Linked DNA regions of Pelodiscus sinensis. The protein of the gene in region 2 purifies or fractionates together with the protein of the main gene of each other region. This does not show direct contact. Links are inferred from orthologs where the notes say so. Each region holds a gene or a part of one and is shown on either strand. Other genes may lie near its edges.

The links. Proteins that work in one complex are often made in the same cells at the same time.
Region 1: the proteins of KPNB1 (region 2) and RCC1 purify together in Homo sapiens (affinity purification with mass spectrometry; 3 studies listed by BioGRID and IntAct, counting the BioPlex papers as one, with this or other methods). This does not show direct contact. The link is inferred for Pelodiscus sinensis from reciprocal best matches to the Homo sapiens genes KPNB1 and RCC1.
Region 3: the proteins of KPNB1 (region 2) and DLGAP5 purify together in Homo sapiens (affinity purification with mass spectrometry; 4 studies listed by BioGRID and IntAct, with this or other methods). This does not show direct contact. The link is inferred for Pelodiscus sinensis from reciprocal best matches to the Homo sapiens genes KPNB1 and DLGAP5.

Annotation. Positions count from the first base shown.
Region 1 is NC_134735.1:12,938,374-12,942,118, reverse strand, and holds the start of RCC1 (regulator of chromosome condensation), read right to left. Parts: upstream 2,214-3,745; 5' UTR 2,057-2,213; intron 1-2,056. UniProt on the Homo sapiens protein: Guanine-nucleotide releasing factor that promotes the exchange of Ran-bound GDP by GTP, and thereby plays an important role in RAN-mediated functions in nuclear import and mitosis.
Region 2 is NC_134739.1:13,276,485-13,280,229, reverse strand, and holds the start of KPNB1 (importin subunit beta-1), read right to left. Parts: upstream 2,660-3,745; 5' UTR 2,498-2,659; coding exon 2,458-2,497; intron 2,341-2,457; coding exon 2,282-2,340; intron 1-2,281.
Region 3 is NC_134714.1:9,372,585-9,376,329, reverse strand, and holds the start of DLGAP5 (disks large-associated protein 5), read left to right. Parts: upstream 1-1,583; 5' UTR 1,584-1,598; coding exon 1,599-1,612; intron 1,613-3,584; coding exon 3,585-3,668; intron 3,669-3,745. UniProt on the Homo sapiens protein: Potential cell cycle regulator that may play a role in carcinogenesis of cancer cells. Mitotic phosphoprotein regulated by the ubiquitin-proteasome pathway.

The DNA.
Region 1 (3,745 bases), on a different chromosome or scaffold from region 2:
AGGAGATTTAGTTTTTCCAGTAGTTTTAACAAAGTAAGATGTTATGAGCAGCACAAGGGGAAAATGTGGTAAGGTTTCAATAATATAATCATTTTGTACTATATCCCTTTAATGTTTGTAAAGTTTTTTGACACCCCGGCTGTGTCTAGACTGGCCAGTTTTTCCGGAAAATCAGCCAGCTGTCTACACTGGCCGCTTGAAGTTCCGCAAAAGCACTGACTTCCTACTGTAAGAAATCAGTGCTTTTTGCGGAAATACTATGCTGCTCCTGTTCGGGCAAAAGTCCCTTTTGTGCAAAACTTTTGCTGAGATTCGTTTTGTGCAAAAAAGCCCCGATCGCAAAAATGGCAATCGGGGCTTTTTTGCGCAAAACCGCGTCTAGATTGGCATGGACGCTTTTCCGCAAAAAGTACTTTTGCGGAAAAGCGTCTGTGCCAATCTAGACGTGCTTTTCCGAAAATGCTTTTAACGGAAACCTTTTCCGTTAAAAGCATTTCCGGAAAATCATGCCAGTCTAGACGTAGTCCCTCTAGTTATATATAAGAACAGCCATATTGGGTCAGACCAAAGGTCCAGCTAGCCCAGTATCTTGTCTGCCAACAGTGGCCAATATCAAATGCCCCAGAGAGAAGGAACACAACATCCATTTCCAGACAAAAGTGATATGCAAAGCACAGCACAATTTTAGCTTACTTAGTGACTTCAACATACAATCTGCCTGCCTTCATTTTACTAACTGGTTATAGGAGTCCCAAACACCACAAAAATCAAGCCTCTAATTCCCAGCTATATAGCTGGGGCAGAACATGGCTATAATGTGCCTTCACCATCACGATTATTTGCAAAGAAATGAGACATGTGAAGAGGGAGGCTACTCCCAAGAGGCTACATGCTATGCAAACACGCCTCCCTCTGCCCACTGCTGAGTTCTTTCTTTCTGACTTTTACAACCAGGTGGGTGTGGCTGTATCTTTTACAAGCCCTCACACGCCTCGTTTCTCTGCAGCCCCGCGTGAACAAGGCCACAACGCTGGATACATACAAACACACAGGCTATGTCTACACTCACGGCTTCTTGCGCAAGTATGGTCATTCTTGCACAAGAATCTGCAGAACGACCACACTGCCCGCCCGCTCTTGTGCAAGGAAATGTACAGTACGGTGTGGGAAGAGAGGGCTCCTTGCGCAAGAGCTACGCTCTTTTTTAACAGGTGTAAGCCCTCTTGTGCAGGAGCTCTTGCGCAAGAGGGCAGTGTGGATGCTCGGCAGGGATTTCTTGCGCAAGAAAGCCCGATGGCTAAAATGGCCCTCAGAGCTTTCTCGCACGGCGCTCTTGCGCAAAAGCACAGCTCGCACATGGCAGTGTGGATGTTTTCTTGTGCAAGAGTTCTTGCACAAAAACCCTTGTGCAAGATGTTCTTGCGCAAGGAGCCGCCAGTGTAGACATAGACACAGTGTGAACGCTCCCCCCCGCACTCCTTTACGAAGCCACCAGAGAATCCCCACCCCTGCCAGCCTGCGGCCCCCATCACGCTCCTAAGGAGTTAAGGGTCTGTTTTGCAATCCCCCCCCCACACACACACGCACGCGCGCGCGGCCCCGTGCAGGGTAGGTCGACCTCCACTAGCACCCGTCAATCCGATTCATCAGACCCCGCAACGGACCCTCAAACGCCCCCCCTGCCCGCACGCGGCCTTGCGCGCCGCGGCCCCTCCCCCCCAGCCACAGAGCAGCTGCTGGAGTTTGAAATTCCCGCGCTGGCCCGGGTCCTCCCCGTCGCACGCTGCCGCAGCCCCGCACTCGGCGAACGGGGGAGGGGCGGCTGCGCGCGCGCGAGCGGCTCCCGGGGAACGTTCGGAACGCGGCCGGAGGGAACTGACACTCGGCGTTCCACCCGTGGAACCTTCGCACACAGCCGCTCGGCGGCCACGTGGGGCTGGCCCAGGCCTCGGCCCCCACCGGGGAAAGGGAGCCCGGGGCTCGGTCCCCCCCCTCCGCCGGCCGGAGCCCCGCTTGCACCCCCGAGGCGGGTGGGACGCAATCCCGAGTGTCTCACCTCCTTGCTGCTCCGCCACCCCGGCTGGCCCGCTCGCTGCTCTCGGCCCCCCACCCGCTGCACCGGAGCATGCGCGAGGGCCCCAGCGCCAGCCGGCAGCGAGCAGCGGTGATAGCGACCCCTGCTGGCCACTGCGCGGAAAGGCCGCAACGCGCCGCGGCGGGGGCTGTCAGCACGGGGCGGAGAAATCGGGGTGAATTGGGGTCAGAAGCGCGTAGCGCATCGTACATGCCAAAGGGCCTGAGCCGGCCAGCGCTCACCCCCCACCCCGACTGCAGCGGCGGGGGTCGTAAGCAATAGCCCTGGTGCTCCCCCCTCAGCGCTGCTGGCTCTGGCGCGGTGTGACCCCACTTCTGCACCTAGACCGGCTTGGTGCAGATGCAGTTGCAGCAGCGGGCGAATTCTGCGCACACGCTGAACTTTGCGCTCCAGTAGTTGAATTCCATGGATTCCACACACATGAAGTTAAGCACACGGGCAAGGGCTGACAGGATCCGGGCCAATACACCCAACCATGCTTGTATTGCAAATAACTCACATTGTTCAAAGGGATATAATTTAAGAATTAATGTTTGCTTGCCTGTTTTGTTACCACTTTGTATTTCAGTTTAGGTAATGACTCATCTTCTTTCTAAGCAATGTCATCTGCCCAACCCCAGTGGTGCAATCTGGAGAGCCCACACACTGAAAAGGATCATTTATTTTAAAAAATTGCTCCCAATGGAATTTTGAAACAGAATTTACACAACTACAAATGATGGGGGTAACTGCTCCCCAGGTGTTCTGTCACAGCCTTGCTCTCTCCACAGCAGGCATTACAATTGCCAGCAGAGCTCTCTTAAGACTGTAAAATATAGTGCTGCACCGATAGATTTTGTAAGGAGTGGAGTGATGCTTCCTGCTCAGAGTTCAAAACCACTAAGTCAAAATTGGCCATGAATCAATGTAGAATGAAATTCAATATTGCCAGCAATCAGAGAGGAGTGAGGTTCTGGAGCAGTCTTCTCCAGAAGTGGGTAAACAGCCTAACTAGTTTTAAACTAGCTCTTGATCCATGTAGGGATTATGAGAGGATGAGGCTTGAACTCCTTTCCAGTCCCATGTTCCTGAGTCAAAATTCCTAACCCTGCTGATTATTGTGACATTGGGCGAGTCATTTCTACACCTCACTTCCCCCTATCTTTGAAAACAAGGGAACTACCCACCAGTTTCACTGGAGTGTTGTGAGGATAAACTAACTCTGGTAAAATGCTCTGAGCCTTTTGAGAGAACAGCCCAAAGTCACATTAGTCCCACTTCAACAGAAACTCAGTATGTTCAAAACCGCAGCACAGAACACTGTGGCAAGTATTGTCCAAACAGGTGTCCAGGCAACATGACTCCAGAACCTATTACACACCTATCAGTGCAGAGATGAGTCATGCTTCACTTTGAGTGTGCTCACAGGTCTGTTCCAAAATGCCTTCCCTACGCAAAGAGAAGCCATTTCATGTTCTGGCTGCATTGCGAACATTGAAGCATCATGTTACAATCTTCACATTTTTGAAGCAATGTGATGAGGGCAACGTGTCAAACGTGTTAAGGAAGCACATTCTAGCGGGCTAGAATGTGGTTAGGACATGATCAGATGACTGCCTTTTTAAACAGATTTTGTAATGTCAATGAATTGTCAGAACATTTTGCCCTACG
Region 2 (3,745 bases):
AACTCCCAAAATGCTATATATCTGATGAAGATTACGCTAGGAAAATACACTATAAATGCGAATAGCCAAAAGCCATCAGTTCTTTATTCTCTCACCTGCCTGCCTCCCTTAAATGATCAGGGTATTTTTGTTTGTTTAAACTAGCAACAGCAGCTTTATTCATTCTAGGCCTGAACTCACAATTCTAATTTAGAATTTAATTCTTCTAAACTGCAGACCCAAACCCAAACTTAGTGTACATGTTCTCATGGCTTCCACACACACAGAAGCATTGCAACAAGATTCAGCAAAACCAACCAGCCTCAGACAGTTTAATCAGCTAAACCAAAGGATTCCTCAACATATCCCAATGTTTCAGTGGTGGGCTATGATTCATTAAACAGCTAGCCACAGAACTGGAATGAACATGAAACTATAAGCCCAATTGTTAACGACTCTGATTGCCAGAAGGTTTCACAAACCTTTAACATTAAATTATGTATCAAAAAGCTGCACAGCTTGCATTAATGCTGGTGAAGAGGAAATGTAGAAGGGTGGCTGAAAAATATTCAACTTTTACCTCCCATTCATCAGGGTGCATCTACACTGCCAGGCTTAACTCGAAATAAGCGACGCAAACTGACTTACATCAATTGCATATCTTATTTTGAAATTAGGAGCATCTACACAGTACTTATTTCAAAACAGAGCACCCTTCCTCTGACTTCCCTTACTCCTAGTACAATGAGGGTTACAGGATTCAGAGTAAAAAGTCCTCTAGCTTGACAGTATTTTGATATTATTTCAAAATAACTGCCTGCTGTGTAGATGCGGACCAAGTCATTTTGGAATAGCACTAGTTTATTTCGAAATAGTGTTGCAGTGTAGATGTATACTCAGTCAAGTCAGTGACAATCTTTACAGTAGCAAACAGGAATGCAATAATTCTCCCATATTTAATCACCCAAAAGAACCAGAGATTGCCTCAAGGATGAGTAGAGTAACAAGGCTAGGAATCAGGCCCTTACACCTTTTTTTAGTGTAATAGTTGTAACGTTGTACCTTAATTAGGCAAACATATGCTAACGGTAGAAAGTATTTTTAACTTTTCTGCACAATCCTCCCTTGAGTTTAATAGGTGTGTAGGATGCTAAGACATGCTACACACAACATGCTAATGGGAGTGTGCCATTTGTAGATTGAGTACCCTTTTCCCCTGGAACAAAGTAGCCCCCACCCTTTCCTTTCTCCCAGGGGTGGGGAACCTTTTTTTGGTCAAGGGCCGCACACAAGTGAGAAGAAAAAAAAACCTAACGAAAATCCACACCCCTCATTGATGTGCCCCCCCCAATGAGAAGAAAGTCACTCTCAACATTCTCCACACATAGCAGAGCCTTGGAAAGCCCAGGCTAGTAGAGTGTGTGTGTTCCAGCCCCACAGGGGCTGGAGCACCATTGCAGACTCCCCGATACTAGGGGGAGAGGGAGCCCTAAGCCTCAGTGGCCAGATCCAGGAAAGCTTGGGACTGAATCTGGCCCCAAGACATGAGGTTCCCCACCCCTGCCTGAAACCTATTCTAAATCTGTTCTAACTCCACCCAGGACAGTAGACAGGGGTCCCAACCCGGGTGACCCCTTCACCTTCTGGCTTCTTACCTCTGGGTCAGAGACGGGGGTGGGAAGGAGGGGAGAAGCGCCCCCTTCAGAAGAGAGCAGAGGGTTGCTTCAGGGGGAAAGGGGAGCGGGATCTGAACAGGGTGCAAGAACCAAGGGCCCAGCAATGAAAGGGGAACAGGATGCAAGAATCGAAGGCCCGGCCCGAGGGAACCAGATGGGCCTGGCCCAGTGGGGAAGGGGAAGGGGGAAGGCCTAGGGGGGCAGGCAGGGAAGGCCCAGCATGGGAGGCACGTGATGCAAGGGGGGGGGTGAAGGAGCAGGCTCCGCAAGGGGGGGAGCGGGGCCCTATGGCGCTGGAGGGCGCTAGGGGGTGTCCCAGCCCCCCCCCCGGCCCGCGCTCCCCACATGGCCCGCAGGCCCCAGCGCAGCACACGCAGCGCGGCGCAGCCTACCCTCCCCCTACCCCCGGCTCCGCGCTCCCATTGGCCCGCGCGGCTCGCGGGCGCGCCGCCATTGGCCGGCCGCCGCCCCGGCTGGGCGCTGGCAAGTTGGGCTGCGCCCTCGATGGCGGTTCGGCCTGCGCGGGGCAGGGCGGGGCGCTCCCTGCCCGCGAGGGGGGAGGGGTGGATGGGATATCGAGGGGGGGGGGACCCCGCTGCCGCCCGCCCGGCCCGCGGGCCGCTCACCAGGTTCTCGATCGCCGCCTGCTCCAGGAACTTCTGCGCCGCCTCCAGCTCCGAGCGGTCTGCGGGGAAGCGGGAGCCGGAGTCAGTCCCCGCCGTGGGGCCCCCCCCCCCCGCTCCGCCCCTCCCCCCCCGGCCCGGCCTCCCCTCAGCCTCCCCCCCCACGTGCCGGCCCTCACCCGGCGAGACCGTCTTCTCCAGGATGGTGATGAGCTCCATGGCGGCGGCGCGGGGCGGCTCCTGCGGCGCGGGGGGGCCCCCGGGGCGGGCGGCGGCTCCGGGCTGTGGCGGGCGCCGGCGGCGGAGGGAGAAAGGGCCGCGCGGCAAAAGGGGGGGGGGACGGGAGAGCGCGCGCGCGTGTGCGCGCGCACACACACACACACCGACGAGGCGGAGCGGGAAGGGAGGGGGGGAAGGAGGGAAAAGAGAAAAAGGAAGGGGCGGGCCCGAGCCAGCCGCGCGGGCGGAGGGAGAGGGCCAGAGCCGGGCTCGCGCCGCGGGCGCCGCACGCTCTCATTGGCTGGCGGCGGCCCTCACGCTCGGCGCTCATTGGGGGCCGGGGCGCGCGCGCGGCCATTGGCTGAGCCGGCGGAGCGGGCCGCCCATTGGCCGGGCTGGGCGAGGGCGGCCCAGGGAAGCGGATGGAGGGGCCGCAAGCAGAAGGTCCTGAGGGGGAGGGGCCCAGTAGGGCCAGGGGCCGTTGGGGGAGGGGGGCTGAGGAGGGACCAGTAGGGCCAGGGGCCGTTGGGGGGGGGGGCTGAGGAGGGGCCCAGTGGGGCCAGGGGCCGTTGGGGGAGGGGGGCTGAGGAGGGGCCCAGTGGGGCCAGGGGCCGTTGGGGGAGGGGGGCTGAGGAGGGTCCGGGGCTGCTGGGGGCCCCACTGGGCCTTACCTTCCTTGGCCCCACCCCCAAGGGCCGCTGGCCCACTGGGTCCTCAGCAGCCATTGTGGGGGGGCAAGAAGGGGCCGTTGGGGGGGGGGCCCAGAGGGACCAGGAGCTGCTAGGGGAGGAGGAGGGAGGTGGGACCCAGCAGGGCTGGAGGGGGGATGCGGCCAGGAGTCGCTGGGGAGGAGGGGGCAGAAGAGGGTGGACCCTGCCCTGAGGGGCAGAAGCTGCTGGGGGGGCCTGAGGGGGTGGGGCCTAGTAGGCCAGAGGGGCTCCTGGGGGATTAGCAGGGGGCCATCAGGAGCTGCTGGGTTCTAGAGGACTTCTGGGGGTTTGGCCATAGGGGCAAGGAGCTTCTGGGGCTCTGTCAGACTGGAGCCATAATAGAAGTTATGTAGGGCCTGGGGCTATAGGGAAGGACTTGAAGAGAGTGGGCCCTAGGCACTGGTGCTATACTGGAGGGGAATGACTGAAGCAACAGCACGCAGAGGAAGATGTAAGAAACTCATAATGGACAATTCTGGAATCCTCTGCCCACTGCAGCAGTGCCATCATAAGGTCAGGCAGCTAGTAGTTGGTTTTT
Region 3 (3,745 bases), on a different chromosome or scaffold from region 2:
AGGCCCCGCCCCCCCGGGCGCCTGGCGGGCGAACGGCCACGCCCCCTGGCGCCCGGCAACCCCAAATGGTTGGGGACCACTGCCCTATAGATACCAGTGACCAAAGTCCTGCAGGGTATGCAGTGCCCAGAGGGCACCACGGGAATGGCATGGTCATGCAGTACCTGGTGGTGGCCAAAGCCACGTGGGAATGGCACAGCTACGTAGTGCCCAGCCAAATGGGGGGAGGGGGCTGGCACAGTCATGTAATGTCCAGGTGAGGGAGGGCTGGCACAGCCACATAGTGCCCAGGCAAGGGGGGGGGGGGGCTGGCAGAGCTACCAAGTGCCCAGCCATGACGGAGGCTACATGGCGATGGCATGGCTATGCAGTGCCCAGCCATGACCAAGGCTGTGCAGGGTTGGCACATATATGTGCCCAGGTGGGCGGGAATGTGGCAGGCTGCATAGTGCCTGCTGACACCACAGTCCTAGCACGTGAGGTCCCTAAGGCTGCGGCGAATGGGGGCTGGTGATAGGAATGTCTGTCGGGACACTGGCCTCGCCTGGCCGCCCGCCCGCCCGCGCCAGGGGGCGCTGCGGACACAGCCCGTTCCCCTCCCCACGGCTCCGCAGCGCGGCCTTCGGAGGGAACGCGCCTGCCAGCCAATGAGCAGCAAGGGGGAGACGCTCCCGCCAGCCAGTGAGCAGCAGGCACAGAACTCGCCATGTCCAATGAGCGGCCGAGGGGACGCTGGGCTTGGCCAATGAGCAGCTTCCGGCGGGCTGGGCTCGGCCAATGAGGCGCGTGGGCTGAGGTTTGAATTAAGGCGAGGGTCCAGTTCCGCGGCGGAGACGTTGGGCAGCCGTCGCGCCCGTTGGGTCGCTCCGCGCGCAGCACAGGTATGAAGGGCCGGGCAGCCCCAGCGGCGGCACGGGACGGGCTCCGTGCCTTGGCGTTGTCCTGCCCGGGCTCGCTGCAGGGGCGACATCCAGCGCTGAGGGAAGCCGTTAACGGCAAGGATGGGGGGGAGGGGGGTCCTTGAGGAACGGGCTCCCAACACCTGCGGGGAGGGGCAACCGGCTCCCCGCGCCTGGGAGACCGGAGGCGGGGAAGGGAGCCGGCCCGGGGGGAAGGAGCGGGCTCTGGCTTCCAGCGCCCGGCGGCGGCGGCGGCAGCGGCGGGGAGGGGGCGGGGCTGCGTCTCTCTATAACACCATTCATGACAATAGAATCCTCTGGGCGACAGAATGACGTCATCACCAACAGGCTGGCGCGTGCAAATGGCGGGGCGGGGGCGCGTGCAGAGGGGGCAGCCCCCTGGCGGTGCGTGATTGGAGCAGCCTCTGCTCAGCCAAGGGGACTTGCTCTGTCACCGCTACGTGCAAGGAGCGCTGGCTTGGCCTGCGGGGTGAAGAAGGGCTCCGAGAGCCAGTGTCTCTGCAGGGCTCGGGCGGGTATGACCCTCAGTAACCCTGGCTGGCCTCGTGCCGGGGGGAGCACTGAGGCGCTGAGACGTCAGCTGTGACGCCACCGCTTGGTGAGAAGTGTTCTCCCGGGGGAGTTGGTTTGGGAGCATAGTGAGCGAGTGGCTTCCCCTGTGTCCTTGCTAAGCGTCTGATGCTCTTGAGGAGGTACGCAGCATGTTGGGGGAGGCGGGTCTAGGGCCTACAGGTCCTGAGATGTATGTTGCGCAGGTGGCGGGCATATGTCTGCGTGTGTTATATTTGTTCTAGTGCTGCTTTGAATGGGTGTGATTTGGTCTGAAAGATTGCTTGTGGTGATGAGGTTGGGGGATTGTTCGAAGGCTCAAAGAGGGAGTTCTGGAATGCTTTATTTTAGGCTACCGTAACCATTAGGTTCAAAGGAAACCTGCTCAATGCCTTCAAAAGGTGAGCCTGGGATTTTAAATGTTCAAGCCTGCTAGAGTCTAGTCAAGTCTCTAACAATCACGCACTCAACAAAAATATTGTTGTTGTTTTTTATGACTTCCTGCAACTATTTAACATATTAAGGGTGCAGATTATAAACTGTGCTCATAGGAGGGTTCTCCCATCCATACAGGTCAGTGGTTCTCAACCAAGGGAACATATAATTGTGAGGGTACAGATGTATCTGCATTATCTGATTAAAATCTGATGATGTTGATCATTGTTGCTACTAGAGATTTTTGAATGTGCGAGAGGAACTGTGTAACTGAAAAATGTCCGCAGTTACATGCAGGGCAGCAGTCAACTCATCAGGAGCCCGCTTTTAAGCCAGCCCTCCACACATAGGGACTCCTGCTGTCCCATGCTGCTGCCTTTGTTATGGAGGCAGCAGGTGGCGTCTCAGGACCTGGTATACACAGAGAACCCTCATCAATTTAAAAAGCCCCTTCAGTAAAGGGAGCACATTAACACATGGATTAAAACTGCCTTTTAATGCAAAACCTAGACAGAAAGACATTGTCCCTTTTGTGAGTATTAAAGAAAGCTAATTTTAAAGACTGCTTTGGGGAGAAGAGATGAACTATTCGGATTCCTTTAAAAAAAAACACACACACAGTTGTGCCCATGAAAGCTCATGATACCATCTACATGTTTTGTTAGTCTCTAAGGGTATGTCTAGACTACAGGCTTTTGTAGACAGAGGCTTTGTTGACAGCTTCTGTCGACAAAGAGCATCTAGACTACATCCAGTTCTGTCAACAAAGCAAGCTGCTTTGTTGACATGAGAGTATAGATGCAAAGAACAGTGTAGATGCAATAACACCTTCTGCCTACAGGACTCTGTTGACAAAAGGCATTATTCCTCGTAGAATGAGGTTTACTGCCGTTGACAAAACTGCCGAGTTCTGTTGACGTTATGTCAATAGAACTCGGCGGTAGTGTAGACGCACGTATAGTTTTGTCAACAAAAGGCCACTTTTGTCGACAAAACCTTGTAGTCTAGACACACCCTAAGATGCTGCAAGACTATTTCTTGTTTGTTTGTTTTTTAAATTTCAGTTACAGACTAACTCGGCTATCTCTCTGAAGCACAATTACTGGAGTTATTCTCTGGCCAGAAATTGTTTCTTCCCTCCCAGCATCCAGCTCCCTTCTGCCTGCTGTTTCAGCAGAGCTGGAGCTTGGACTTTCTCCCATTCCAGCCCCACAGCTCAGCTAACTGGGGCTGTAATGGAGTTGGATTCTTCTCTGTCTGGTGCCCCTGTGCAGCTAATGCTGAGAATTTCAGTTTCTCTCAGCCCAGCTGGGGCTCAAAAACAAATGGACTCACTTCTTCCTCCCCTTCCTCTCTGTGCAGCTTAACCTGGAACTTTAAGTCTCTTGCAACCACCCAGGCAGGGGGTGCTGAATTAAACTGAGTCAGACTCTCTTCTGCCTGATACCCCATCCCAGTTGGAGTTGGGAGTGTGTCTACCTCCAGCACCCAGGCAGTAAAGCTGGGACTGAAACTGAGTCAGACTCTCTGTTCTTTGCCTGCTTCAGCGAGCATCTTTCCCTGGCTGTTATACACAGCCCAGCTGGGGACGGAATGCTCCAAACTTAGTTCTGATCCCCCATTGATCCTCATCCATCCTGCATTTCCTCACCATCAGCGCACTGTCTATGTTGTCTCCAGGGTCCTAATTAGTGGAGCCAAAACCATGCCTGTGTGCAGCAGTTCATTTCCTCCTGTGCGGCTGCCCACCTGTGTGCCCGAGAGGTAACACTGTTCTGACCTATGGATTTATACTTATGGGAGCATTCTAGCTGAGGGATTGAGACCCTTCCAATGATTGG